4 linked regions of the Schizosaccharomyces pombe genome follow. The protein of the gene in region 4 purifies or fractionates together with the protein of the main gene of each other region. This does not show direct contact. Each region holds a gene or a part of one and is shown on either strand. Other genes may lie near its edges. The genes, in order: spt3, taf6, taf12 and hfi1.

The links.
Region 1: the proteins of hfi1 (region 4) and spt3 purify together in Schizosaccharomyces pombe (affinity purification with mass spectrometry, with the first as the bait; 2 studies listed by BioGRID). This does not show direct contact.
Region 2: the proteins of hfi1 (region 4) and taf6 purify together in Schizosaccharomyces pombe (affinity purification with mass spectrometry, with the first as the bait; 2 studies listed by BioGRID). This does not show direct contact.
Region 3: the proteins of hfi1 (region 4) and taf12 purify together in Schizosaccharomyces pombe (affinity purification with mass spectrometry, with the first as the bait; 2 studies listed by BioGRID). This does not show direct contact.

The regions. Positions count from the first base shown.
Region 1 is NC_003421.2:1,438,396-1,445,775, forward strand, and holds spt3 (SAGA complex subunit Spt3), read left to right. Parts: upstream 1-4,558; 5' UTR 4,559-4,606; coding exon 4,607-5,530; 3' UTR 5,531-6,205; downstream 6,206-7,380. Other genes in the region: histone demethylase Jmj4, read left to right, coding at 1-4, 48-1,444; siderophore-Fe(3+) transporter Str2, read right to left, coding at 1,694-3,275, 3,388-3,599; NADHX dehydratase Nnr2, read left to right, coding at 6,258-7,241. UniProt on the Schizosaccharomyces pombe protein: Component of the transcription coactivator SAGA complex. SAGA acts as a general cofactor required for essentially all RNA polymerase II transcription. At the promoters, SAGA is required for transcription pre-initiation complex (PIC) recruitment.
Region 2 is NC_003421.2:696,733-705,388, forward strand, and holds taf6 (TATA-binding protein-associated factor TAF6), read right to left. Parts: upstream 4,966-8,656; 5' UTR 4,950-4,965; coding exon 4,818-4,949; intron 4,660-4,817; coding exon 3,433-4,659; 3' UTR 3,014-3,432; downstream 1-3,013. Other genes in the region: rml2 (mitochondrial 54S ribosomal protein uL2m), read left to right, coding at 1-351; RNA cap binding protein cbc3, read right to left, coding at 873-1,020, 1,143-1,395, 1,448-1,667; protein mug123, read left to right, coding at 2,306-3,013; retromer complex subunit Vps5, read left to right, coding at 5,875-7,605; xks1 (xylulose kinase), read right to left, coding at 8,241-8,444, 8,496-8,656. UniProt on the Schizosaccharomyces pombe protein: Functions as a component of both the DNA-binding general transcription initiation factor complex TFIID and the transcription coactivator SAGA complex.
Region 3 is NC_003424.3:3,676,378-3,683,042, forward strand, and holds taf12 (SAGA complex/transcription factor TFIID complex subunit A Taf12), read left to right. Parts: upstream 1-1,611; 5' UTR 1,612-1,707; coding exon 1,708-3,060; 3' UTR 3,061-3,651; downstream 3,652-6,665. Other genes in the region: ABC family Fe transporter Atm1, read left to right, coding at 1-1,230; rad54 (DNA repair protein), read right to left, coding at 4,210-6,665. UniProt on the Schizosaccharomyces pombe protein: Functions as a component of both the DNA-binding general transcription initiation factor complex TFIID and the transcription coactivator SAGA complex.
Region 4 is NC_003423.3:3,575,218-3,582,970, forward strand, and holds hfi1 (SAGA complex subunit Hfi1/Ada1), read right to left. Parts: upstream 4,503-7,753; 5' UTR 4,239-4,502; coding exon 4,022-4,238; intron 3,980-4,021; coding exon 3,753-3,979; intron 3,702-3,752; coding exon 3,602-3,701; intron 3,484-3,601; coding exon 3,008-3,483; 3' UTR 2,816-3,007; downstream 1-2,815. Other genes in the region: SPOM_SPBC887.16 (uncharacterized protein), read left to right, coding at 1-33; SPOM_SPBC887.17 (transmembrane transporter), read left to right, coding at 815-2,692; Man5GlcNac2-PP-Dol translocation protein Rft1, read left to right, coding at 5,118-6,701; his4 (imidazoleglycerol-phosphate synthase), read right to left, coding at 6,878-7,753. UniProt on the Schizosaccharomyces pombe protein: Component of the transcription coactivator SAGA complex. SAGA acts as a general cofactor required for essentially all RNA polymerase II transcription. At the promoters, SAGA is required for transcription pre-initiation complex (PIC) recruitment.

The sequences.
Region 1 (7,380 bases), on a different chromosome or scaffold from region 4:
AAAGGTAAGAGAAATTAGGACTCATTGCTCTGAGCTAACGAAAGCAGGATACTCGCCTAAACACGGAGACAAGGTTCCAGTGCTCCAGAACTTGAACGATTTAACACCTAAAGATTTTTATGATAAGTTCATTGCTACCAGGACTCCCGTCATCATTAAATCCTCCTTACCAGAGTCTGACTGGAAGGGTTACCTATGGCAGCAACAGGATTACTTGCTCTCTAAAATTGGTGATATCGTATGCAAGGTTGAGCCGATCGATCCTGTTTCTGGGACCTTTGGACAAGGTATGAGTCGAAATGAAATGTCCATCAAAGAATTTTTTCAAAAACTAAAAAATGGTGAACGACTTTATTTGACTACACAGTACGATGAATCCAACGAGGTTTTAGATGGAGATGATGAGGTTTCTCTTCTTGTTAAAAGTTTATGTCCTCATCCTACTGATGGTTTGCTTACCGACTTTTCAATAACCCCGGCATTAATGGGCAATTTGGTCCCCCAGCAATGCAATCTTTGGATTGGAAAAAGTGAGAACGGCACTTCTTCCGGTTTACACCATGATTTTCACGATAACATATATGCGGTCATTTCCGGATACAAGAGATTCGTAATTATTTCACCAGATCATGCAAATCAACTTAAACTCTCTGGAAAAATTTCAAAAATCCACCCTAATGGGTTAATTTCTTATGAAGGTGAAGATTGCCCTCAGCGCAGCGATGGACTCACTGAGCTTGATGCTGCAATTGCAAAAACACAATTTTTAGAAAAAAAAATTGGTTCTTTGAAAGAACTAGCGGTCCCTCAAGAAAGTATCGAACTATTGGAAGCTGAATATGAAAATGAGATGGACAGAGTTCTTCAAATGCAAATTGGCGGACCTGAAGAAGATTGGAATGATTTAGAAGAAGGAGATGCTGCTAGCTTGTTAGACGGATCAGTTGGCGGTGATCCGGAAAGTGATATTTTATTGAATGAAGGAAATGATATTGAAGCAACTAGTTTGCAGGATACAAAACCCGAATTACCTGATCATTTTACCAAGGTGAGTGTTAATGGATTGCATAAATTCATGGGATTTGATGATGCTAAGAATGTTGATGTTGATAAAGATGAGCTTTCTGCTCTTGCGGGGACAGTTCCTCTAGTGGTGGATTTAGAACCTGGCGACATGCTTTATTTACCAGCAAGTTGGTTTCATGAAGTCACCTCTTCAAGCGCTAGTTCTGGAGGTAGCGATGTACATATTGCATTTAATTATTGGTTTCATCCTCCCGATAATCTTGAAGACTTTGATCATCCCTACTTGGATCGCAACATTTGGCAAGCCAAGCGTCATCTTGTTGGAGAGGCAATTGATCAATTGTATGCTACTAACAAGAAAAACGAAAAACGACCGGCAGAAGACGATTCACCTTCTCAAAAGAAAACTTGTCAATAAAACACTTATTTATAAAACATTTAGAATTGAATAATTTTAAATTTATTAATACAAACCCTTGAAAATCCCTTGTACTAATGATATAAAAAAAAGTCGTAATCGTACTCCAATGACCCAAAAATTGGAAATTTTTGTACGTTTAAGAAAGACAATTGAAAAATGAAAGCATAAAAACGGGGATTTATAAAGATAAGAAGGATTTTTGGATAGCATACTTAGGTTCACTATTCTAAAAAAATTAATTGTAAATTATTCTGAGGGAGTTTCGACGGCTGTATCATGATTTTCAGTGGAAAGGGGGACATCTCTAATTATAACAAGTCCGGCAAACATAAATAAAGAGGCAACAAGTGAGATATGGAAAAGATCCTTCTCGGTGGCAGTATAAGCAACATTAATGATATTACGAATTTGAGTCCCTTGGGGGTATGACAGAGCAGTTCGTAGGTCCCGGAATATTGATTCAATTTCTGGGACAGGAAGATGATCTTTAAGGTCATGTAACAAACGACTTGAGAGCCTCTTACTCCATACGCCTCCTGCAATAGCAGATCCAAAGGCACCACCAACAGAAGAAAACGTTAAATACAACGTGAGATTCATACCTAATTTAGCATGTGACGATACTGACTGAACAGCAATTTGCGCACTTAACGTCAGTAACCCACCTCCCATACCAGCAAGTATAAGCACTAAAACTAGGGGACGGGTATAGTGGTTATCGTTAATACCAAATAAGATGATACCCAAAATCCCCAATACGTACATAGGAACAGAAATCATAAGCAACATCTTGAAGCGACCAAACCGCTTCATGAGAAAACCTGACAGGATAGCCGTCGTAGTCATTGAAAATACAAAAACATTAAGGGTAAGGCTACTCATGTCAATTGATAATCCATAAGAGACTTGAAGGAAAGAAGTTAAAAAATTTGAGAAAATATAATAAGACATGAAATATGTGAAAATTAAAACGCATGAACCAAGGATGGTACGGTCTTTCAAAGATTTTAAGGCGAAAACGGGATAGCGTGCATATTTGACGTCGTAGAAGCATAGGGTTACTAACAAAGCAATGGAGAGAGTTATAGTAAAGAGAGTTAAAATTGTTGAGTCTGGTGAAACTACCTGACTCGAATGGGAAAAAGGCAGCAACAAAAGCGTAAAGCCAGACACAAACAACACTATTCCAAGACCATCCAATTCCTGCCAAAACAAATAAAATAGTCTAAGTTTTTCAGGAGTGGAATGATTGATCAAGTTATGATGTTCTCTATATAAACCTGCAGCCTTGGCTTTTCTTTGGTTTAGGAAAAGCGAAGCCAAGAGAGGTAATGAAACTGTTGGTAAAATGAACGCCCATATACCATAACCCAATCTCCACCCATAATTTTTCTCAGGATGAAAGGCTTGAGCAAGCACTGGTCCAATCCAAACAGTTGCAAGATAGGGAAGTTCTGGGATAGCAGAGAGAATCCCCCGATTGAGTAGCGAAGATGTGTCTGCAATAATTAATTGAGATAACAGACCTAGCCCAGTTTGGCCGCATATATAGAGGATATATGCTACGGTAAACATTTGAATATTTCGAGAAAATGCCAATGAAAGATATCCCAACACTGTCATTCCTAATGCTAAACTAAGACTCTCCGAACGTCCAAAGACATCGGCAGCCTTTACCATTGGTGCTCGAACAACTGCTAAAAGAATATTGCCCACCAAATTGATTGTAGCCAAGTTTGAATGGGCGGAAAAGTTGCTGGTTGCGTATCTTTGCAAAGAATACGTAGTTTGCTGCTCTAATGAAGATGCAAATGACAACAAATAGAGACTAAAAGAGAAGACATTGTGTTAGCTTGATCATACCACAAACACAAACATTCAACAGATGTATGCAAACACTACGTGATTTATGGATTATCATGACTACAATACTAACATACCCAAGGTAAGCAACAATAATCGATCTTTTAGACCATGTTGAAGCAATTGCCTCAGCTTTGGAAACACCTTCTAGTGACAATTCTGAAGTACGATCATTTATGGGTCCAGCATTATCAAGCTCTTCTCTAAGGGGATGAAATTGCTGTTCTAAATTTTCGTTATTACGAAAACTCTTTTTACGATGCTCCATGCTTCCATAATTCTCAGTCATCCAGAGTGTATGGTAAATGGCAGTATGCAAAAGGTACGCCAACACAAATTATCAGATCGTATAGCAAATTAGAGTTTATCTAACCGAGATGTTTAATGAAGTTGGTAAACAATAATAAATAAAGACTGATGAAATGCAGACTAGTTAGTTAATAAGAGGTTTTTGGTTGCTTTAAGAAGCGGTTAAACTTTTTTAAATAATAGAAGAATTACACTTTGACCCTTTCTCCGAGGTTCAGGCTAAGCCGCCAATTTGATGTTCCCGCAATTAACTCCTCGAATTTATGAGTGATGGCTTCAATAGGGTATTCATTTGTTCAGAGTATTCAATTTAGTTTCTAGTCACACTTAAACATTTTGGAAGTATTAAAAATTACAGAGATTGGTAGCAGACGATTTTACAGCATGCTCGAAATAGAAGCATTAAGAAGAAATTGCAATATCACTCAGACTAATGAAATCCTTCTAAACACGAAAACATAATCTAAAGAATTGCTAGTAATATCACAAATTGCTGATAATTAGAAGGTGTTTACATTTATGGCAACAAAGATGAATGATCTAGCAAAAGAGAGTTTCAGACCAAAGAAAGTTGATGCTTTTCACTTTATAGATTACTCAAGTATCTACTTTAAACGGAAGTAAACAAGTTACGAAGGTAAAAAATTTCAAACATTTACAATCTTAAATTAATAAACCTATGCTTCAAAAAAAGACAGGAGTTACTCTTCTAATAACACTTCTTCACTAACTAGTTGTACTGGATGTTCTGTAACGAAAGAATGGACTGGGTTTGCAGTTTGGATAGTGTATCCAGCTCTCATAAAATTTGTTTGCTTTTTGCAAGCTAAACGTTTGACAATGGTTTTTCTTTTTCAACTTAAAGCACTTTATGCCCCATCAATTAGTCCTTCTTACTGGAAACTATATTTTTCTTGTCAGTTTGGAGTTCAGCAACTTGTCAACTACCCACCACTTTGGGAAGTGGTTAAAAATAAGCAATGCGGAATGACTGAGACTGGCAGAACCAGTAAATATCGTGTTGAAATTCAACAAATGATGTTCATTCTAGGGGAGGTGCAGGATCCTCTCCCAGAAACCACACAATTAGTCGAAGAGCTAATACGTGGACAAGTGATGGAGATGTTAATTCAGGCAAATGAGCTAGCTTTACGACGTGGCTCAAGATCTATTACTGTGGAAGATTTATTTTTCTTAATTCGCCATGATCGTGCAAAGGTGAATCGACTAAAGACATACCTGTCATGGAAGGAAGTGCGCAAGAAAGCGAAGGAGCAGGATGCCAATCCTGCCGATACAAAAGATCTTTTTGAGGAAGTAGATTCAAAAACAAGGTCAATGAATGCAGTTGCTATGCCTTGGGAAGTAAAAAATATGTTTACAGAGCCTGTACCGGAAACAGAAGAGTTTGAAGAAGATAACGATACGATGGAAATGGCATATGCGACGCGACAACGTCTTAAAATGGCAGATGAACGCACGAAGAAAATGACGCGTGAGGAGTATGTTCATTGGAGTGAATGTCGACAAGCCAGTTTTACTTATCGAAAAGGCAAGCGATTTCGTGAATGGTGTGGCATGTCTATTCTAACAGATACTCGCCCTGATAATGATATTGTAGATATACTTGGCTTCTTGACCTTTGAGATTGTGGCTACCTTAACTGAGGAAGCACTGGCTGTGAAAGATCGAATGGATCGGATTCAAAATAGCTCGGGTAGTGGAGGCTCTCATGCAGCGCATCATCCGAAAAATTGCAGTTTATTTGATGGACTTACTGAGGGGAGAACTCCCCTTCAAGTTTCTCATGTTTTAGAAGCTTTTCGTCGTTTGCAAATCCCCGATAAAACTCATACTGCTATGCGCAGTTTTCATGGGGGTTTGGTCAAATCTCGTGTGTATCTTATCTAATCATTTTCACTGTCTCTTCTTTTTTTTTAATTGCTGTAAGGCTTCCATTTACATCTAAATGCCCTGTTTTCCTGTAATTACCCATACTAGGTACGTATATGTTATTATCCCCATTACTGGTTCTCCTTGAAACAATATGGTTTAGATCTTACGAAAGCCCCTTTACTTTATGGAGATATTAACTACTCAATATATTTCATCACATTAGACTGTTGTCTTGCATCTCCGATTGAATTCATAATTTTATTTCTATCTTTCCACTAAGCGATATTCTTAATTGCAGCAGTGGTAGTATTTGGACTTTTGGATTTTTTAATATCAAATTTTTCTTATTATACTGGAATCTCATGATATCTGTGAATATTTGCAAATCTTCTTACCAAACTTCGTTTACTCTATACAAACTGCTGATTTTCGTAATGAACAAGGGGATCATCCTTTTGATATCGTCAGTGCGAAATTTTTAAAAAACAAAGGGTTTCTTTACGTTTTTTTTTTGTTTTCGAGAACATTTGAACTTCATCACTGAGCGTCATTTTGATCATACCTTCCACCTTAACATCATACATACGCCAACTCCAAGAATAACCGAACATTCGTATTCCGAAGCACTCACAGTACTTAAGAGATACAAAATTCAGGAATTTTAAAGACTTTTTGATTTATTATAATTGTAATTCTTTATAATTTTTTGCTATCCGAAGAATTCGCTCAACAAGATTACAACATGACATCTGGATCTCCCAAAATTACAAATTTGCTGACTCGTGTGAAGCGCATCATTCCACCACTTCTTGATACCTTCCACAAAGGTCAAGCCGGTCGAGTTGGTGTTTTTGGGGGTTGTCAGCACTACACAGGTGCTCCGTACTATTCTTCGATGTCGTCGATGCTCTTCGGCAGTGACCAAAGCCACATATTTTGTGAAAAAGAAGCTGCAAATGTCATTAAAAGCTATTCTCCTGATCTGATTGTTCATCCATTTTTACGTGAAAAGGACAAAGCTGGACCAGAAGATAGTGTCGATAAATGCTTTGAACTTATAAAGCCCATGATGGGAAGATTGCATGCCATCGTAATTGGGCCTGGATTGGGACGTGATGAATGGATGCAAGAGATTATGGCCAAAGTAATTGAGTATGCGCGCAAAAATGATATGCCTATGGTTATCGATGCTGATGGCTTGTGGTTAATTCAACAACGTCCCGAATTGGTTTCGGGTTATCATAATGTAATTTTAACACCTAACGTTATTGAGTTCAAAAGACTTTGCGACAAGCTTGACATTAAGAGTGACGGACCCGATGCTTGCAATCAGCTAGCTGGCAAACTAAATTTGCTCATCATTCAAAAAGGCCAATCCGATATTATTTCCGATGGCGCTACTGCATATGCTTGCTCCGTTCCTGGTGGTCTTAAACGTTGTGGTGGTCAGGGTGACATTTTAACTGGTATACTTGCTACATTCCTTGCTTGGAGACATGCTTATCTTAGCAAAGAATGGGATACAGAAGGTAATATGGATGCTAAAGAATGTCTCTTCCTTGCCGCATTTGGAGCCTCTGCCTGTACTCGCTGGTGCAGTCGTTTGGCGTTTAAGGAATGTGGTCGTGCAACTCAATCAACTGACCTGGTCAGACATGTGGGTAAAGCGTATAATGCGTTAATGGAGGATGAGATACCGTCTGTCGAGGAAAAAATAAAAGATTAAAAAAAAATAATATTTAAAAACCAAGAAGATAAAGGACCCTTAAACTAATAATTGACTTTTTTGCTTGTTTGTTCCCTGGAATTGACATTATTACCATGTTTTCAAGTCTTGGTTCAAATTCCCAAGCAAAGGGATACCT
Region 2 (8,656 bases), on a different chromosome or scaffold from region 4:
ATAGCTTTTGATGGTAAATATGCTATCGTTCGTCTACAAAGTGGTGAAGAGAGAAAGATTTTGGATACATCATTTGCTACCATTGGTGTTGTAAGCAATATTTATTGGCAACATCGCCAGCTTGGTAAAGCCGGTCGTTCACGTTGGCTTGGCATTCGTCCTACGGTTCGAGGTACAGCTATGAATCCATGTGACCATCCACATGGTGGTGGTGGTGGTAAAAGCATTGGTAATAAACCTTCTCAATCTCCTTGGGGTGTTTTGGCTAAAGGTGGATACAAAACAAGAAGAGGTAAAAATGTTAATAAATTACTCGTCCGCGATCGTCCTCGTGGAAAGGAAAAGCGGTAATCATTTTATTAATGATCTCTGTCTTCATGACTTTTACATTTCTATGTTTTACATTACCGTAATGCATTTCAATTTTCATGATCCCTTCTCCATTTTAATAGTCGATGCTATTACCTATCCATTTGTGGACCAGATGCATTTATGTATAGTTATTTTGTGTCGACCGTCATTTATCGACGAAAAATTTTAAGCATTTTTTAAGAGTTTAGCTCTTACAATTTAAATCTGTATTGGTAATTTTTGTTCATCACAACGTTGCTTAAAGCTAAGGACTATCCCATTCAAAATTGTCGTTTGCTTACATCTACCTTAAAAGGGTTATCGATATCATTCAGGTACCAAAAGAGTATTCTATTAAACGCAGAAAAGAACGGTTTTATTTTAATATGGCCAACTAAATAAAAAAATTTTATTTATAAAATTGTAGCTAATTTAGCATATTAATTTTTTCTTGCCTTCGTCCAGCGAAAAGCGACTTAAAAGCGGATAAACTGGGTATTTAATATTTCTCTACAACACAATTAACGCTTGGAAACCCTGGAACGACGGTCTCTCCTTGATTTGCGTGGCTTGCGTCGAACTTGGAATATTCTTTCCATCAGTGTAAGGTCAGACACTTTAGGACCTAGTCGTTCATCTAATGGCGAACCCCTTTCATCTTGATTTCTACTGTGCGAAAGTGTTAGTAATTTGAATATAAAATTGAGTAAAAGGAGATTCTCAAAAGTAGAGGAAATGATTTTTGAAAAGTATGAGTGCACCCGGACTAATTTGGTTTTCACAAGTTATACCTTTTAGATTTGCTCTTCTGAGCCTTTTCTTCTCGAGGATCACCGTGAAACAGATAATATCTCGAGTAAAGATGTGCGCTTTTAACCTTCTTGTCTCCGTAGCGGGCGTAACGTATTTTGAATTGACACGTCGGTACAGTTGGGTGTGGTTTCGTTTGATATTCCAATTCCTCTGAAAATTCTGTCGGAGACTCCATAATTAAATGAAATAAAGCATTTCGTGAAACATCATCATCCGCATAAACAACGTTGCCTATACGCGGTTATAGAGTTAGACTAACCCTTTGCCAGTTTTCGCTTCTTACATTCGTTATCATTAATCCATTCAATTGTACATTGAGATTCAGGAGCATAAGCTGAAATAAATCCTTTGACTTGTTCTTCTGAAAGATTATCGACGCCAGCTAGATGTAAAGCTGTTTTACGCAATGTAGTATCAGCCACCACTTCCGTTTCTAATGGAGTACTAGTGGCGTCGGGTATCAATGATTCTTCTTCAATCTGAGTCTCTGCAACGATATCCATTTAAATCTACTTCTCTACAACTGCTTCGCAGACATGCAGTTTCCAAAAGAGTGAATGTGCCGTCCAAAGAAAATTACGACGCGCTATAATTTGCTATACGAGAATAACGAGAGATGAAAGATCCCTATAGGCAATGTAATCGGTACAGTCTCCTATAATGAGTGAAGATCGGAAGTCAAATGTAATTTGTATTTAAAATTAAGAAGGAAAATGGAGATTAAATCGGCTTTTTGCATGTAAGGCTCGTTTGTGTAAGAATCTACAGTACGCTAAAGCACATTGAATTGCGTATTGTTATTTACAGAAATTTATGGGATATTACAGTAAAACCTAATAAGATTTACCTCTGGGACACCGTATGTTCGAGAATGAGACATGTAAACATAGCTTCCGCACATTTGCAATTTTCAGTACGAAACATTAATTCTTGCGCTTTTCAAAGATATATGAGCTTTGTTTAATTAGTTTTAGCTGATTGCTTAATCAAATAAAAGATTGTCTATCTTAACACCATTCGTTTTCTAATCCCGGCATTTGTCTGTGAAATTTTTAAAAATTAATTGGAATTACTCTACAAGCAACTTATTCAAAGAAGGAATAAATAGATAATAATCATTACTAGACAGAAGACTAATCGCATGGAACGTTTAGCTACTCGATCGAGCCATGATGATCCATATTCGAGGTCTTCCCTTCCAACTTCGAATGCCATTAATAGCAACCATGAGTCAAATGGTTCTACTTTTTCTTACGTACAGAGTTTACGCCGTGCAAAGGCGACTGTCTGGAGTGATATAGGCCGTGTGGCTCCTTTACACTCTAGCCCATCAATCAAAAGTTCATCACAAAATGGGAAGTCTTCCAGCAAAGGCTTAGGAGGCATGCGCTCAAGGGTATTTTCTAGCCAGCATCATGGTGTTTATCACACCCGTCCTGCTTCGCTTCATTCACGTACAATGGCTCCTCAGCACACCATTCTTACTCCACGATTATCTGCTACCGAAGGTAAGGATGACGATGAGGACGAATTGGTAATTTCGACATCGAATACTGCACCAACATATATCTCAATGATTGAGTCTTCACGTGCCAGCTCAACCCATAGTGGGACTGCACCTTCCATTATGGGAATGTCAATACATTCAAGAGCAGACTCCAGAGCCGAAACTACTCAATCAGACGGCTTTGAATCTCGTAGCGGATCACCTACTCATGATATTCAATCTTATCTTGTCAATCGACGAAGCAGCAGTTCTGAATCTTCAGACGAGGACAGTGCTGAAGAAGGAATGAAACGTCTAGTAATCACAAATATGGGGGACAATGATGAATTCGATAGCGATTAGTGCAGTTATTTTTCCATCGATATCTGATAAAGTATTATTATTTATTATGGTGCTATTCCCTCACCTAGTTTAATTGCTTTAATTCGTTTACTTTTATTCGCATTCTTTGGCATAATCAAGCATTCCTTCCCCTTTCTGTTCTATTACGTATTTCTTTCATTTAAAACCCGGCATTGTCAGCTAGTCTCACATCTTTAATCAAAACATGAAATAAACTATATCAATATTATCATCATTCTATTTTTATTCATTTGAAAGCTATTCGGTGCTTCCTGTTTTAATGTAACATGAATATCAATAACATTTTAATTATAGAACCTATAATGGTTTAGGTAGTGTGGAAAATTGGGTAAATATTTTAAAGTCCGAGATTCATAGATTAAATTGTTCAAAAACAAATATTTTATGCCCAACGAAGACTATTCTAGCAGACCAAGAAGCAATGAGGTATCGTTTTCCTTCATTATCTTTTCAGCCATTAAACTGCCAACGTTCTTCTCAAGAAGACCACTAGCATTTGGCGGAAGAGTTCGTTGATTTGGTAATTGATCATCCCGCAGTAATAGCAAAGCGTCGTACAAAGCATCCATACATTTATTGGCCTCGTAAATCTCCTCTTCATTTCCTTTTTCCAAGGTTTTCCGAACTAGGACTTCGTAAACTTTGATATTGGGAACGACGAGGACTCTAATAGCTTCTTTCCCCATAGTTTTTAAGCCTTTGATGGCACCATAATGAGTGGAATATGGCTTGGTGTTATCCAAAAATGCTTTGAGTGCCGTGCGAGTAACGCGAGGCTTTAATGTATAATACACATTACCAAATCGATCACAAACAATCCCGAGTAAAAAAGCAGCTAAGTCTCTTAGTGCATAATGCTCGTGATTATTAGGATCACTGCCAAGGCGCTTCGCGACCAAACAAGTAAGGATGGATGGCATGAGTTGTTGGACGTAAGGCTCTACAAAAAGGTTGGGGTTATCAAGAAGGGCCCAGGCCATGTGCATTAAAGTAGTAAGAACCACAAGATTTCCTAAGTTTCGAGTTACAGAATCCGATAAAAACATTATGAAGTATGGTAAAAGTTGGTGTAATCCGGGGTCGTCACGTAAACTCGATAGGGCAGCATCACGGAGCTCAACATTAGTTTCATCAAGCAATGCACTGGTAATACGCTCAAAATAAAGCTGTAACTCTTTGGATAGCACATGTCGCACCAACGGTTTTATCTCAACGTTGTCCATCGAAGTGACACCGTTTCGAGCTTCTTTAGCAGCAGTTGAAGCACCTGGCATAACCCCTGAAGTACCCTTGGATGCCCATTCTCCAACTGTGTGATCTGAGGGAGTTGGATTTTGAGGAATGGCTGGCTGCACACCTTCGATGGCCAGCCAGTGTGCACTGTAAGAAATGTTTCTAGGGACTTTAGGGAGAGGAGCGTTTATGATTTTTTCAAAATCCACTTCCTCATCATCAAGGTAGTAAAGGGAATTTTGGCCTGCACCTACAGCGGCTTCATGAAATTCTAATGGACGAGAATTATTGAAGCCGTATAACGGCTCAACATTCAACGTCCGTAACGCTGAAGAGATATCTGCGCTAGTTAAAACAGTTCTTTTAGAATGAACCATAAACTTAGTGGCTTCCTAAATCAAATACTGTTAGAGAATTATGTTTAATGTCAGAATAAAGCAGACTATCTAGCAAATTGAAAGGCATCGTAAAAAACTAGCAACAATTTTTTAGTTATTTTAGCCTCTTCCAAAGAAAGTAAAATCTCATAGTCTACTTTCACGAAACCTACCTGAACCACCTGATGAATTCTATATTCGAGATCCATTGCAATAGCTGCTGCTGGTTCATCGGCAAGATTGCCAATCCCAAGCATTTCAGCAACATCTTTGATGGATTCAATATTCCATACTGTCAAGGACATGACTTGGTAGTAAGATGAACGATTTATGGATCAATGAGTGAATTGCATCTGCAGAGAAGTAGTTAACGATGTTAGAAGCAACTGCTTTATTTAACATACTTGTCAGCAATACTACACTACGCTATAATACACTACGTTGCGTATCACTATATGTCACATGTTCTAATTATATATCGTACCATGTATGATACGATATGGAGATTGATCTTAATGATAATCTATTAAGATCTATATTATCTGAATACTATAAATAGAGCTACTGCTGAACCTCGTTCCTCAGTTCAGTTATGAGCTATATTAGTGATAGGTAACATTATAACCCAGTTAATACAATACCTATACTCAGTTGCTACTTATACAACCTGTGTATTGTAATATAATAGATCACAAGGAAAACTCACCGCAGTTCTACGTATCCTTAAATCAGATACCAAACTGCGTAGCTTACAAGACAGTGAGCTACACTAAAATCGCTATTAAACATTACGTTACGCATCAAAATACACTACATGGAATACCAATTAATCTCAATTTGTTGAACAATAGCAGAAGACTATATGTTTGTTTACTAAAACATCCATTGATATTGATATAAAATAGTAGTTAAAATTAGAAGTCTAGATTGAACAGAGCATCATTCTCAGTCCAGTTATTAGCTGTTACAATGATAAATATATTATCACCCACCACTCACAATACTGTATAACGCAATATACTGCTTCTACAAGCTAAATATAATTTAATGTAGCCTTAAAAGGAATTAGAAACTTGAATTGTTGACACTTATCTAGTTGCACCGCAAGTCACCCCGCATTGCTAAACGTATTTAACCATCGTTATTTTTCGCTAGTCGTCGTTGGGCTGCGCATCACCATTTCAGGCACGATTTCAGTGATCAGATCCAAAAACCCAACCGGCCACCATCATGCTTGGGCATAATATATATGAAGAAGACGATGCATTTAATCCATTCGCAGATTCCGTTTCTCCACTGAACCCTCCAAAAACCGACCAAGAGCCCTCAGCTGAAGGAGTGGAAGAAGAGTCGCCGAATGTTCAAGCTTCTCCACCAAAAACTCATATCTATACATCTCCTAGGAAACGAAGCGTCAATTTGAAATCTCTTCCGTTTGAAACGTTAACTTTGGATTCTGCACCTTTAGGTCCCTTGCAATTTTCTGATGCACCTTCTATGGCACCCGAAAACAACCGTTTGGAAGTTGGTTTAAATACAAAAATTAATCCGTTAAAAGGATCTAGTCCCGCTTTGAATGCAGATTTTTCTGCAAATAAGCCTTGGATCTCAGAAGTGAACTCCTTTTCCCCTTCTCCTATCGGAGCAACGGAAAATCCCACTATACCAAATTCAGAACAGACGGTAGATACTTTAGACGCTGCCTCATCTTCTGCTCCAAATTTTACACACACTGTCTCATCTGCCTCCTCCCAGAAGCAAGGTTCAACCTCATTAACAGATACGGAGAATCAGAAGGCGCACCCGGCAGCGGCACCTCAATCTCTTACCCCGTTTTACATCCAAGTTCATGACCCTCATACCGTTAAGGAAATCACTAAATCGCATACCGTATATTCGGTTTCCACTCGTTTAGAGGAACACAATCAACCTTCTGTTAGCAATGTGACTGTACAAAGACGATATAATGATTTTGCTTTTCTTTATCAATTGCTTTCTAATAATCATCCGGGTTGTATCATTCCTCCCATCCCGGAAAAGCAGGTTGTAGGCCGTTTTGATGATGAATTTATTGAACAGCGACGAGCAGCCTTGGAGGTAATGCTTCGCAAAATATCTGCCCATCCGGTTCTACGTGATGATTACTCATTTAAGTTGTTTCTTGAAGCAGAGACATTTGACCCTAGAATGACACATCGTACTACTCTCATTGAGAGTTCATCAAGTCCTTTGCGCTCAGGTCCCTCAACATCTGGTTTACTTGACTCATTCACCTCCGCCTTCCATACCTCTGGATCTTCTAAATTTTCCGAACAGGATCCAATTTTAATTGAAGCAAAGGATACACTTGATTCGTTGGAAACTCAACTAAAGTCGGTTTATCACGCGCTTCTTTTATCCATAGATCAACGCATACAGTTCGCTTCAGCCATCCATGATTTTGGCGAGGCTGTTGGAAATTTATCTTTAGTTGATTTAGAGCCCACCTTATCATCCAAGTTTGATGGTCTTTCCCAACTCCAGGTAGAGCTTCGATTTGTACAAGAACGTAAGGTTGCTCAAGACAATTTGACACTGGGCACTACATTGGAGGAGTACATTCGGTACGTGGAGAGTGCCAAAAATGCCTTTACTACACGTCAAAAGTTGTGGCAGACATGGCAATCTTCAGTTCAAGCTGTTTCTCGTGCTAAAACTCAACTTGAGAAATGTAAAAAGCAAGCGAAATCTCAGCAAAAATCACTCCCTTACTTGGAAGAACAATACGAAAAATATCGAGCAAAAGCTGCTGATCTGGAAAAAGAGTTTTCGGAATCAACAACTCTGTTAAAACGAGATTTGAGTTCTCTCACAACCAGTAGAGTTGATGATCTCAAAGCTAGTGTTGAAACGTGGTTGGAATCTGCAATTGAATCTCAAAAAGAAATTATTGAGCGTTGGGAATCATTTTTGGATCAATAACGACTCTAATTTTCCCTATGCACTCTTTTAATTTTTATGTTTTTCTTTCGTGTAATATTTCTATCCCATATTCGTATTAATGTATTTCCAACTACCGCTTTATTACTTTGCACTTCTCTAGCTGACGATTTCTATTCTATTCTAATTATTTTTTTGCAATTTCCCTTTTCGTCCATGGTACTTCATTACTTGAAAAGAAAATGTACCTTAAAATATTGCATTCTATCTACTAACCTTACAGCAACCCTACACTCCTTTGTAAATAAATAACTTGTGTATGTTTTTAAAAATTGTCTTTGTTACTCAAGCCTTTTTATATTTGTTTATGTTTAAACGCTTTTTCCTGCTTAAATTGTGTTACTTATATGTAAAAGCGTATGCAAAAATTTGTTTAATAATATGGTGTATGACTACTTTATGTTACATATTTATTTGTCTTAATTTAGACTCGTGATTCAAAGCTCTCAAAACGATAGCTCAAAAAAATGTTCATGTAGGAAACGTTTATCATTTTGTATCCTAAGGTTTATTCATATTTTTTAAAAAAAAAAGTGGATTTCGCTTTCATTAATAATCTCGTTATATCAATAGCTAATCACATAATCAAGTGCGAAATGGAAAAGCATTTAATCAATTCAATGCCGGATATCTGACTGTTGAATCGCAATGTCTTCAGCCTTTTTGAGGAAAGGTAAAAGCTTTCCATATTCTTCATAAGTTTGGGCGGATGGTTTATTCATGATTAGTTCAATTTTCTTGGACTCATCCCAAGATTTGTTTACATATTCTTCAAAGGTAAATCCTTTTCCATTCATTGCATATGCAGCCTTGATAGCGCCCTAAATTGATGGTCAGTAACTATTAATTAACAACATTTTCCGTTCACTTACGCCAACAGCACAGGCATTACTACCGCCGTGTTTTAGCCGATAAACATCACATCCCAAAACCTGGCTAATTTTAAACACAATAGCCTCGTTACGACTAGCTCCTCCTACAACATAAACACGATCAGGTTGTGGTATACCAGTTAGCAAAGGAGTAATCCGCA
Region 3 (6,665 bases), on a different chromosome or scaffold from region 4:
ACATCCTGGAGAACTGTATTCCGTCGTCAAGCAAATGCTGCTGACAGTAAAGCATCAGCCGCGGCAATTGAATCTCTGATTAATTATGAAGCCGTTAAAACTTTTAATAACGAATCATACGAAATGAGCAGATATGAAAAGCATCTTTCCGCCTACGAAAAAGCCAACGTTAAGGTAGCATCTTCTTTGGCCTTTTTGAATTCAGGACAGGCTATTATATTCTCTACCGCTCTTACTTTGATGATGTACATGGGTTGTCGTGGAATTGTAACTTCCAACCTTACTGTAGGTGACCTTGTCATGATTAACCAATTAGTATTTCAGTTGTCAATTCCTCTTAACTTCCTTGGATCTGTCTATCGCGAAATGAGACAGGCTTTTACTGATATGGAGCAATTGTTTTCTTTAAAGCGCATTAATATCCAAGTGAAGGAGGCGCCAGATGCTCGAGATTTGGTTCTTAAAGGCGGATCTATTCAATTCGATAACGTTCATTTTTCGTATAATCCAAATAGACCTATTCTTAATGGTTGCAGTTTTAACATCCCCGCTGGAGCAAAAGTCGCTTTTGTAGGCGCAAGCGGATGTGGTAAATCAACAATCCTTCGACTTTTGTTCCGCTTTTACGATACGGACTCAGGAAAGATTTTAATAGACAATCAAAGACTTGACCAGATAACTCTAAATTCACTTCGAAAAGCCATCGGTGTTGTACCTCAGGACACGCCTCTATTTAATGATACAATCCTTTACAATATTGGGTATGGTAATCCGAAGGCATCTAACGACGAAATAGTGGAAGCCGCCAAAAAAGCTAAGATTCATGACATTATTGAAAGCTTTCCAGAGGGATATCAAACAAAAGTTGGCGAACGTGGTTTAATGATCTCTGGAGGAGAAAAGCAAAGACTTGCAGTTTCAAGGCTATTACTTAAGAATCCAGAAATTCTTTTTTTTGACGAAGCCACTTCAGCTTTGGACACTAATACTGAACGCGCACTATTGAGAAATATCAATGATCTTATTAAGGGATCTCACAAAACCAGTGTATTCATCGCTCACCGTCTTCGCACAATAAAGGATTGTGACATTATATTCGTTCTTGAAAAGGGTCGTGTTGTTGAGCAAGGTAGTCATGAACAGCTTATGGCTAAGAACAGTGTATACACTTCAATGTGGCACTCCCAGGAATCCCCCTTTGGCGAATCGAATAAATCCGGAGATGCATGATTAATTCCCTAACTAAAAAATATTATATCATTAAGCAGGCTGTTCAAGTTAATTTTTTTTTTCTTGAATATGGTCCCACTTTTGATATTTCATTCAGAAAGTTAAGTAGCCGTTTCTATAATTTTTTTGGTATTATTTTGTTAATGTCTTGAATACGTATTTTAATTTATTTTCTTGTTTTCGCTTATAATCTATTATAAATTGGCTGGATTAAATATTTCTACAATGTTACAAAAAAATCCAAAATTACTAAATGTGATTATTTTTTAGTTCATTTATACTTATCTATAATACGAAAATTAGTCATTTCCCCCATACTAGTAGACTTCAATGCTTGTACTACCTCAGGCGCTCGCGACGACCCTAGCTCGCAGTCAGTTTGGCAACTCCCAAATATTTGTGTAGTAAAAAAGCTGTGCTTGTCTTTGGATTTTTAATCTAGTTTATAGCATAAAAGGAAATAATAAAAAAAGGAAAATGAATGGGCAGCATTCAAGCCCTGGAACACCAGTTCAACGACCATCTGCTGGACCGGTAAATCAGGCACAATTTTCACAACAGAGAACGAACCAGTTAACATCTTTGTTACACACTATGACTATGTATCAGCAACTTGCTCAAAACGTTGGCCTTAATACTCCTCAGGGACAAGTTTATTTGCTTCAAGCTCAAACCATTCGTCGTCAATTACAAGGCCACGCGCAATCTGGACAACTTCCAAATCAACAACTCTTACAACAATTACAATCCAATGGAGCTCTTCAGCAAGGTACTCCGGAGCCTTCAAATACCCGCCCGCGACCTCAGTTGAATGCTCAAGAACAAACAATGCTTTTAGTCAGGCATAGGCAACTCCAAACTGCTCAGAACTACTTAACAGAAATGAAAGAGGCTTTAGGTCGCATTAAAAACGAACTTTCTACAAATGAAAGATTGGACACTAGTGCTCGCGAGGCTTTGGTAAAGCAGGAGTCCGAGTTGACTGTAAAAATCGCGCAATTTACCGCTGCCATTTCTAACGGCATTCGTTCCATTCAACAATTACAAAATAGGCAGGCATCTTCTGCTAACGGTAATAATACTGGTACATCAACTCCTGTGAACGCCTCAACTGATACTAGAAAAAGCACTGCTTCAACTCCTCAATTACAACAGACCCAAGCACAAGCTAATGCTCCTCAACAACGTATAAATCCCGAGACGTCTTCTGTTCCTGAAACTCCTGTTGGCGTTTCCGCAGCTAATGTTAGCAATGAAAGTACCGAGCTCGCTACTTCTGCAACTCAACAGTCGGGTTTGGCAAATAACGTTGAAAAGTCACAAACTCCTTCTTACATGTCAGCGAACCATTTACCCAAGGTTGACTCCAAATCACCAATACCGTTTTCTGTTCCTCCGAGTCGTGCTACATTAACTGGTGGATATGCATCTGGAAGTATTGGTCTCAGCACACCGGGATTATCTCGTGCTCCACACTACGAGCTTGACAATGGAAACCGGTTATTATCAAAGAGAAAATTGCATGATTTGCTACAGCAAATTGACTCGGAAGAGAAAATAGAACCAGAAGTTGAAGAACTCCTTTTAGAGATTGCTGATGAGTTTGTCGAATCAGTCACTAATTTTGCATGCAGACTTGCTAAACATAGAAAATCTGATACGCTTGACGTAAGAGATGTTCAATTGCATTTAGAAAGGAACTGGAACATCCGACTCCCTGGGTTTGCTAGTGATGATATCGTCAAGAGCGCTCGTAAGACTGGGCCCACACCTTCATATCAGCAAAAGCAAAACGCTATTGGAACTGCTAAAAGTTTGAATAAGGACTAACGCCAATGAAAGAGAATTTTATACTGTTATGCGATTTCATGGACTTATGTAAAAGAAAAAAGGTCAAAATTTTTAAAAATAAAAATCTAGCATTTCTACGGTTTTTGGTATCCTTAACCGTTGACAAAATTAAAATTTCCGAATTTGTCTCTATCAAAACATCCTACCCATCAATCTATGGTGCAATGTCGTCTTAAACTTTTAACGTTTATTTGTCATAAAGGTCAAAAAATAGCCAAACACTTTCAGTTCCAATATGATTGTTTTAGAAATAATTGTTTAAAGAATTATGGGTTCGAGAATCATATTCTCTCTATCCAACCTCACCACTAACTCTAACCGTTATTTAAGAACGGTTTCACCTTATGGATACGTTTTACAATCTCAGAAAATCATCATTAGACGACAAATTCGAGTCATTGTCCGTTGCCAGCAAACTTGATATTTGTCGATTGGCTTTATAATCCGGGTCTAACTACTATTGAATGTTACTATTTTTGTTAAGTAAATATGCATATATAATATTTAGAAGTAATATATAAGATTGCAAATGAAACAACCCTTAAATAAATAATTGGTTATGTAAGCTTCTACCTATATTGGAACATTCACGAGTTTGAACGTCCAAAGTATTTAGACATAAGCAATGTTTATATAAGCTATTAGAGTGACAAAAAGCATATAAGATGTATGCAGTTTGCCTAAAAGTAGCTACATGGTTAATAACAAAAATTCGAGACATCCCAATCTTAATATAGAAAAGCAGTGCTAAAACTGTCACGGGTTCGAATACTAACAAATGCAATTTCAAATGTTTCAGAAAAATATGACAAATTATATGCTCTTAACAATTGAATATAACATTCTAAAAAAAAAAATTTATTTCAGCATACCTGTAAATTCGTAATAATTTTGTCACAAAGCTTACCAAGGAGTAATTGAGGTTTGGTAGGATACAATTGAGGGTTGGATATTAATTAAATTAAAAACTATATTTTAAAAACCGGAATTAAATTCATGATATTGTTTTATGCATCGAATAGCAAATCAAACAGGGATAAAGAGAGGTGAGAGTAGTTTAAAGACAAATCAAACTAAATGAAAATATGAGGATTTGTGAAGAGAGCAGCGTAATTAAACACGTAAAAATTAATGAGATTTGTATTGGAAAACGGTACTCACTTGCTGTTTTCCTGCCTCACGTTTTAGCAAGTGATCTTCTATTCGGTCTAATGTGGGATTTGTAAAATGATTCCATGTGCTAGTATCACCGTATAACATGGCTGGGGCTCGGATGAATTGTTTTCCATCACGACACCGTTTACATTTATATGTTTCATGAGTTTCACAGACTGTGTGATCGTTAAGCTGAAACAGCTGCCTTAAGTTATCAAGCGAAAAATGTCTTTCGACATCTTGAGCTTCATCCACAACACAAGAAGACAAAGATTGCTTATGAGACTGCCTTTGGAATATCTTTTCTTCGATGGTTCCAGTAGCTATGAAACGGTAAACAAAGCAGTCCTTCTTTTGCCCATCACGCCAAACTCGAGCTAAAGCTTGTTGATCGGCGGCTGGATTCCAATCGGGATCAAACAGAATAAGACGATTAGCGCCAATAAGGTTAATACCACAACCACCTGCTTTAGAAGATAATAAAAACACAAAAGCATCCTTTTCCGGGTCATTGAATGTGTCAACTAAACGTTGTCGTTTATTTACATTCATAGTACCATCTAGCCGAAGAGCCTTGTAACCGCGAGCTCTACAAAGCTGCTCAAACAAGTCAAGCGTGGAGGTGTAATTGCTAATTAAAACAATTTTATCGTCTGTCTCTTGTTTTATTTGATAGAGCATTCGTTCCAACACTAACATTTTACCTGATAAAGAGGAGTCAATGTTTCTATCGCGCCCTCTTAGCTCACGGGGAATAAATCCTGGAGGGAATAGAGCCTCACAACCTTCCAAGTCCTCAGTTAAATTCAATAGATCAGGATGATTACATATTTTTTTTAGCAGACCTATAGCTTTTAGTGGTTGACTGCCGGTCCCCCTTAAGATTTTATTGATTTCAGGCGAGGTAATAAAATGCTTGTACAAAGAAAGCTGAAATTCGGAAAGGTTGCAAAAGACAACATGTTCGTATTTAACAGGCAAATATTTGGAGAGAATATCATTCGTACGACGAATAATAAACCGATTGACAATCTTGGCTAACTCAGCTAACTTAGCATCACCATTCTCCTTATCTTTTTCTGTTCCGTCAGCATCACGACCTTTTAAAATTGGAATTTCATAATTTTTTCTGAACTCTTGCCTTGAACCTAACAACCCAGGATTCGCAAAATTTAACAACGAAAAGTATTCGCTTAGATCATTTTGAATAGGGGTACCAGAAAGGATGACACGCCTTTGAACGTTTAGCTTGTCTAATGCCGTAAAAGTCAAAGAATCACTATTCTTAAGACGATGACCTTCGTCACAAAGAAGCATTCCAATTTCTGCGTTGTTGAGATGCTCAACATAACTTCTAAGGGTTTCATAACTGGCAATAAGCACTGGACGTGTGACTTGTCGTCCATGTACGGATGCCCATTGTTGCAAAGCCATGATTAACTCCTGTTTGGAGCTTTTACCGTCCAATATGAATGGAGTAATAGCATCTTTTCCTAACCATTTGACAAGTTCATTAGCCCAATTTTTGACTAAAGAAGAAGGACAAGTTATAATTGCCTTTTCAATTGTCGGTTTTCCAGCCTGAGGAGACTGTTTTAAAAGGGTCCATAACAAAGCAATACATTGAAGTGTCTTACCAAGTCCCATCTCATCTGCCATAATACATCCATTTGCACAACGGTCAATCCTTCCAGTTACACACTTGTACAAGAATTTGACACCTTCTATTTGATGAGGTCTTAGAATACGAGCAAGTTTTGGATCAATGACAACAGCAACAGGAGGAGGTGGAGGTTTTTCTTTCTGAATTCCTAGTAGATCTTTCAAACTTTTATTTGGTCTTCTATGCTTTGAGGTATTAGAGGTTATGAGACTTTGCTCGGTAGAACAGCTAGCCACTGTGTCAGTGGAGACACATGAATCATGGTCACTTTCAGGCTCACTATCAGAAATTTCTTTCTTTCCTTTTCGATTTTTTAACAATTCATCTTTTTTACGTTTTTCCGCTAAGACCTCTTTTATATCAGGAATGATCTCATCTGCATCAGTAGTGGGATCATATAAAACGATAGCAAATTCATCAGCAGGATCGTAAAGGGGACGAGGAATAAAATCCACCTTCCTTTTCATTCCCAGTGTAGGAGGTGGACGATGTGCACACAGTTTAGATATATCTTCATGACCCTTGATAGGTTTAGGCACAGAGAACTGTTTCTTAATGACTGTTGAGGGATCTCGTCGTTCATGATTTAGTATTAATCGATTAGCTTCTTTGATGGTTGCCAACCCAGACACATTTTCAGATACGTAAGCTGAATCATACTTCCCATCAACAGAACCATATTCGCTGTAGTTAACTCTTGGCTTTTTGCGTAAAGGAAGCTCTTTTCGCTTTTCTGAAATCACTAAAGAAGGGCATTTAAACTTTT
Region 4 (7,753 bases):
CGCATGTCGATTATTTGTGAAGAATACTACTAATGTTATCATTGTTACTTTTAAGAATTTTTTATATCTTTGGAGTAGGTTATTGGCAGTGGAATTTTGAGTTTATCTCATTTTTTGAAGTAGCGAAATTGACGCAGTATCTGATAGCACAGCTATTGGCTGTTAAATATAAGCGCCCAAATTTGACTAGTATTTAACAGTCCTTGGGTCCATCAGCGACACTTTGCATTTTTTACAAACTTTTTTCTAAACACCAATTTCTATTTCTTTGCAGTAATAAAGAGGTCCTGGACTGAAAACTCACTGTTGTACTTAATTAGGTGTAGGTTTGCATCCAGTTGATAAGGATTATAAAGTTTTTTCAATCTTCACGTTGAGATCGAGATTCATCGCTTAGCAGAAAATTTTTAGATTAGTGGTAGGTCGAAAAGGTTCTGGATTTTAGAAAACGGCTTTGATCAAACAACTTTAAAGATTAGATTGCTTTTATCTCGATCTTTGTTTACAATTTCATCAAAAGTTTTTTAAATTGCTTTTACTGTTTTTGAGGTTTGGAAGCAAAATCGGTTTCTTTCCTTGTGGGTTTTGGGATTTCTCTAATATTTGTATCTTTAATAAGTAATCTATTTTTGTGAAAAGGGCTTTTTGCTTAGCATTAACACGGATCTTTCCGTTGATTTGTTGTGTTTTATTTATCCTCGGCAGGTTATTTGGATACCTAGTGTAATATATATACATATATTATAAGTATTCTCGTTTTTATTGTTTTAATATTTCAATCCTCTTTTCTTTTTTTCCTTAGTTTATCGAGAAGATGAGCATCACACAAAAAGTAAGGAATTGGGTCGAAGAGTTCGACGTGATCGTCGCTCGTTCGGCATTCGGACGTTGGTTTCGTCTAGAGGGATGTGGTCATCCTCGGGAGCGTAAAGGCAGTCGCTTTTCTCTCGAAATTAGTGCTGGTCTTACTACCTTTTTTGCAATGGCTTACATTTTGGCTGTCAATGCTACCATTCTCGTAGATACGGGCGGCACTTGCGAATGTACTGAAGCTAATCGTGATGATTGTGACAAACTTGATGACTATGTACTTTGCAAAGAAGACTTTCATCGTGATCTCGTCACAGCCACCGCTGCCATTTCTGCTCTCGCTTCTTTCTGCATGGGTCTTTTTGCCAATATGCCCGTGGGTATGGCCCCTGGTATGGGTTTAAATGCTTATTTTGCGTACCAAGTTGTCGGATATAATGGCACTGGACGTGTTTCCTATCGAGAAGCTCTTTTAGCTGTTTTTGTTGAAGGATTCATCTTTACTGGTTTAACTGTTATAGGTCTACGCCAATGGCTGGCGCGAGTTATTCCTGCCTCTTTGAAATTTGCTACTGGTGCTGGTATTGGTTTGTATCTCACAATTATCGGACTCAGTCCAAGTGCTGGGTTAGGAGTCATTGGGCATTCCTCATCTGATATTGTCGCTTTAGGAGGATGCCCTCCAGAATACCTAAACGCTGATTATAGCTGCAACGGTCATCAATTACAATCAGGAAGAATGTGGGTAGGTATATTCTGTGGCGGTGTTCTCACTGCTATTTTAATGATGTACAAATTTAAAGGTGCTGTCCTTGCTGGAATCGCACTTGTCACTATCACAAGTTGGCCTAGACGCTCATTAGTAACTATGTTTCCCCACACGCTTACAGGGGATTATAATTTTGATTTTTTCAAAAAGGTTGTTAGCTTTCGAAAAATTAACCGTATTCTTGTTGCCCAACAGTGGAACGTTACAGGCGGTCAATTTGCCATTGCACTGATTACTTTTCTGTACGTTGACATTATGGATATGACTGGTACACTTTACTCAATGGCTAACTATGCTGGTTTGGTCGATCCTCGTACTCAAGACTTTGAAGGATCCGCAGTTGCTTACATCGTCGATGCTTTAAGTATTTCTATTGGGTCACTTTTTGGTTGCTCACCTGTTACTGCTTTTATTGAATCCGGGTCTGGTATTTCGGCTGGCGGTAGAACAGGGATTTTAGGTATGGTTGTAGGCATTTGCTTTTTCATTTCTCTTTTCTTTGCTCCTATTTTTTCAAGTATTCCAGTCTGGGCTACCGGTTCTACATTAGTACTTGTCGGCAGTATGATGATGAAGAGTACTACATTGATTAACTGGAGTTACCTTGGTGACTCCATTCCTGCTTTTATTACAATTGCTTTGATGCCATTTACCTACTCGATTGCGTATGGCTTGATTGCCGGTATTATTTGCTACGCTCTACTAAACTCCATTATTTATGCTATTGACAAAATGTCACGCGGTAGACTTGTACCGGCTGACTATAATCAAAAAGAAGCTTGGACATGGCGTGTCGAGGGGGGTTTATTGCCTCAATGGGTACGTCGCCTCTTTAAGGGTAACCGCAGATTTTGGGAAGATCCTGACGACCGCAAAGCTATGGACAATGCCACCTTAGAGATGGCTACTAGTAGATCTTATTCGGAGGACGGTAAAAATGAGAAAACTACTCATGAGGACGTTACAATGAAAGAAACATCTTTAAAGAAGATGGACGATGAGCGCATTTCTGTTGACGAAGCTGTTGGCGAAAGTGAAAGTTTCAGTAATAGACAACAGGATTTCCGGACGCCTTATGCTGGCATCGATATGGATACTGATGATCGTATTTAAACAGTTTTTACTAATACTATATTTTAGCAAATCTTGAACAATAATAGTATTCTGTCGGTAAATCTTGCTGGATAATTACGTATTTTAGAATATCTATATTGCTTCATCTTACATATTTCGCAACCTGTTATATATTAAATTCATTACTATAAATTAAAAAAAAAAAATATGTGAAAAAAATCTAACTTAAAAGGATAATCAAGTCTTGTATATTTGCGAGCTGAAACGCTTGAAGAATAGCCCTTGAAGCTTTTAAGATTGTAAATAAATAAAGCACTTCTGACGATTAGATTAAAAAAAAAAGAACCTCCGCGGTTATGAAAGCACTTCATCTAAAAGGGAAGCAACAGAATTCCTATCACTTTGCGCATCATTGCTTGCAAGCATGTAGCTTGGCGATTCTGCACAAATTGAAATTTCATCTTCAGTATAACTATCATGAAGCAAAAACGGCATTCTTAACTTCTGTGGATACTGTTCGACAAAAGCATGAGGTTCAATAGTCCATGCTAGATTAAGGTCATTAATGGTAAAACCTGCCGCATCATTTTCAGTATTTTTTTGTCGAATATTTTTGTTTAATATAGAAAAGCATCTGCTTAGAATGTTCTTTAGATGGCTTTCTAACCCAGCCAATATAATATCAGACACACCCTTTTGTACACCACCCAATAAGCCATTTTCAAGAGAAATAGCTGTAATTCGTTCTTTTAACGATTCTGAATCTGGAAGTTCAAGTGTTTCACATGCTAGAGGTGCAACATAGCCGGCTTTAATATCATTTACAAATACTAATGAGGTTAGTGAAAATATTACCCAAATTGTGGTTAAAAGGAAATTTCCGTTAATAAAAATTAAATGGTTACACTTTTGAATACTTCCTTAGAACCTATTAAAGAATAGGCTTACCTGAATTCAGCTTGTCTCGGGATACAGGAATTTTAGGTAATTTTGCAATTCTCGTTTCCAGCAGCAATCCTGAGATCAAACTTGGTGTAACTGGCTTTTCCTAGATATGTTTGTTAGAAAGGTGATAAAAAAGACTTATAATAAAGCCTACTTTTAAAGCAGTTTTGATCCTAGCCCGGTCTTTATAACTTAAAGACATTACTATTCGCTTGATTAATCGAACCTGTGCATTCTGCGAACTAATTTTTTTATGTAAAAATAAACTATTATCGACTTTCTTCCGTTTAAACCAAGGTAAATGATGTAGAGCACTAAAGGTATCATTATTTTTTTGCATCAATTTGAGAATATGAAAAATGATTGAATTGTGTAGTTTATCTAAAGTGTCAGAACAATATTAAATAAAAATTTATATCTTACCAAAATTTGATTTTCCAGCGAAAGTTAACAGCATCGACTTCATTTCCTTTCTGCTCAACTGTCCAATTAAGAAGTCCGTCATTGTTTTAGTATACACCTCGAAACTGCTACCCAAAAGTGATTGCATCTCTGAGATTATTTGCGAAATTACTGTGTTGGGTTTGTGCCCATTCGAGCTAGCGCTTTGAACTTTTTGTACAGTAACTCCTTCTGTCATTTTTCTAGTACAATTTAATCATCAAGGTCATCAAAATAAGTTTATGACAAAAAAAAATAATAGCAGAATTAAAATAGAAAGCTTAATCGCATAAGTCCCAGTATTGGTGTAAAACACAAGTAAATTGTTCAAACTTGTAGCTAAAAAGCAGATGCAAAAGTAAAGCTAAGTACAAATAAAGAACCTATTTTTTTTAATAGAAAGTTGTCTACAAAGGTTCTTAATGAGTTTCAAACAAAAAACTTTCAGACTTAGTAGAATGATGCCTTAAACTAGAAGTAGTCCAAGTTATTACATGCCAGCAATGCTTAATTTACGGTACGCTTCACTAAACATCAAACACTCTTCAGCCTAAAAAAATTTTAGTATACAGTAATAATCATCTGTATATTCTTGAGTATCTGATTTACTATTAATTATCTAACCACAAAATTATAAAATAGGAAAACGAATTTTAATTGTACCTACGTCCTTAAAATCAGTCGTGAAATGGGTTTGTGATTATTATACTTATGGAAGTTTAAGGTAACCTGGTATTAACAGCATATGAATTACAAGCAGTAGAAGCTTACTGTACTTTAACGCATCTTTAATACAAATATGGCTGTATAGCCGGCGGGTTAAACATGGCAACTCTACTTCGTTAACTCAAGTATATTGTAGAATTCCTTAATGCTCTATGTTAGTAATGTGTCCTGAAAAGTTAACTGCGCGCTCAAGAGACACCCATTTATGCGCCAAATCCACCAAGTAAATATCTCATTTATAAGTTAGAATACGAATTACATAAAAAAAGTTGGGACATTAATGGAAGAAAGAGGTAAACAACTATTGACTTGTAGTATAATTCTTTGAATCTAGATCAGTACCAACTAGCTAATGGATAAATCTGATTCTTTGCTGCAGTCGTCCTCGAAGGGACTGCGCTCCTCCATATTTTTTCAAGGAAGTTCGAGAATATTGACTTTCTTCTTAAACCAACTGACCATTCGGTTAACTAGTCCTAGCGCCTATGCATTTTCTTCTATTCATTTTGAGATATTACAGAGTACGATCCTTTTCCTCAGCAGGGAGTCGGTTCGATTAGCTATGCAAAGAATTCCTTCGGAAAATGCAATAATTACCTCTACTTCTACTGAGTCAAACAAATCAAAAAAATTAAGTGATCAGTTGCAATTGATCAAGAATACTTCTTTGATCAGTGTTTACATTGGTATCGTAATATCGCTTCTGGTTTCTTTATTTTACTTCTATTCACTTCCTAATTTTCCTTATTCTAAAACATGTATTTTTATTTACACCGTTTCTAGTTTCATTGAGTTGCTATCTGAACCATACTATGAAGTTCTTCAATGGCGCCAGAAGTTCTCCAAGACTGCTTCAGCAGAAGGACTTGGAACAATTATTTGCTCTTTATTGTCCTTTGCAATTTCTGTTTTAGGAAGGAATAAGGCACCGTCAAGTCTTCCTTTTGCCCTCGGTAACTTGTCAGAAAAAGTAACCATTTTTTTTACTTTAAGGTATTTTGCTAAACAGCCATTCTCCATATTTCTCCACAAAGTGGGAGAAAACGAGAGGTATATATTTTGGGATAGTTCTACTCTTCGAATAATCTGTTCACATACTTATCAAGTGTTGTTAAAACACCTAATCACAAAGGGCGATAAGATAATGGTAGCATGGTATGCTTCTCCTTCTGCTCAAGGTCCGTATGCGCTAGCTTCCAATTATGGTTCTTTATTGGCGAGAATCGTGTTTCGACCAGTAGAGGACCATTCTCACATTGTTTTTGCTCAGTTAACGCATTATAAGAACAAAAAAGATGAAAAAAAGGCTTTAAATTTGTTGGCATGGATTTTAAAATTATATTCTTATATGAGTTTGTTTATCCTTTTTGGAAGTAATTACTCGGACATTGTTCTTTTGTTTGGCGCAGGAAGTAAGTGGGCTTCTCCTGATAGCTCTAGCATTTTATCTTGGTACGCAATGTATATTCCGTTTATGGCTGCAAACGGCGTGTTGGAAGCATTTTATGTTTCAGCAGCCAACTCTTCTCAGTTGTATGATCAAGGGAAGTGTTATTTGGCTTCCGCTGTATTTTATTTTATTACTGGAAAATTCCTTCTATCATGGTTTAATTTAGGCTCTCATGGATTAATCCTTGCAAATATATTAAATTTATCACTGAGGATATGTTTTGCCTTACGGTTTATTCTTCACAATTATAAAGATTTTAGTCTCCCGAGGTCTCTTCCTAGGCCTTTTTTGCTAGCTCTTTCAATTCTTTTGTCTATTATAAGCAGCTTCCTCGTAAAACATTGGAGAGAATCTAAAGTCCCCTTTTTGGTATACTTCCTGTCCGCGCCCTCACTGGCCATCTTGTACAGTTGTTTTATAATTTTAGTCGATAAAGACGTAAGAGGATATGCAAAAATTCTGCTGAGTAAATATTACATAAAGTAATAAATACTACTCTATGTCAGATAGTTTTAATAATCTGGATAAAAATTTATATTATCCAAAACAAATTTTATTGGCATATGCAATTTCAGTGCACTATTGACATCTAATTTAGTGCTAAAAGGGGAAGGAATTAGATACAAATATTTTTTTATCGTAATTCAGACGGACTTCGCTAGCTAAGTGCGAACCAGAACGTCGTGTATTGCCAGATATTCTTTGACGTCTTCTATGCGACAAGTTTGTCGATGAAAAATTCCGGCGGCAAGAGCTGCATCACAATCCGTTTCTTTAAATACTTCTTCAAAATGTTGGGGAATACCAGCACCACTTGAAGCTATTACTGGAATATTCACAGAGTTTTTAACAAGACGAACAAGTTCTATGTCATACCCAGCATTTGAACCGTCTTGATCCATACAATTTAATAGTACTTCACCAGCACCCATTGCTTCACAAGCACGAGTAAGTTCAACAACATCAATATCACGATATTCACGACCTCCTTTAACGGTGCACTGATACCAACAATATGCTTCTCCATTAGGTCCAAGCCGAGATGTTTTCACAACATGGTGTTTAGTATCTTCAGGAACTTTTACATACTGACGTTTAGGATCAACCGAAATAACAACTGCCTGATTACCATAGGCCTTAGAAATTGTTTCTATAGCAGTTTTTCCACTCAATTTCTTCCCATTTTCGTAATACTTTTCTGCGGCATAAACGGCGTCACTTCCAATAGATACTTTGTCGGCACCTGATCTAAAGTAAATACCAGCAACTTCGACAGCAGGATGAAAAGTCCCATCAGGATCTGATACATCTCTGATTCCACCACCTACTGTTAAAGGTACAAATACTGTTTGAGCTGCCTTTTCTAAAACCTGTAACATAGGTGCATCGGCCATTGGACAATTTCTAAATGAAGTGATGTTCAAAAAAACGACTTCGTCAGCGCCTTCTTGAAAATATCTTTGACATAACTCCACAGGTTTTCCAAGATTTCTAACCTCGCTTCCAGAAGATTTTTCACGGACATCATATTGATCACC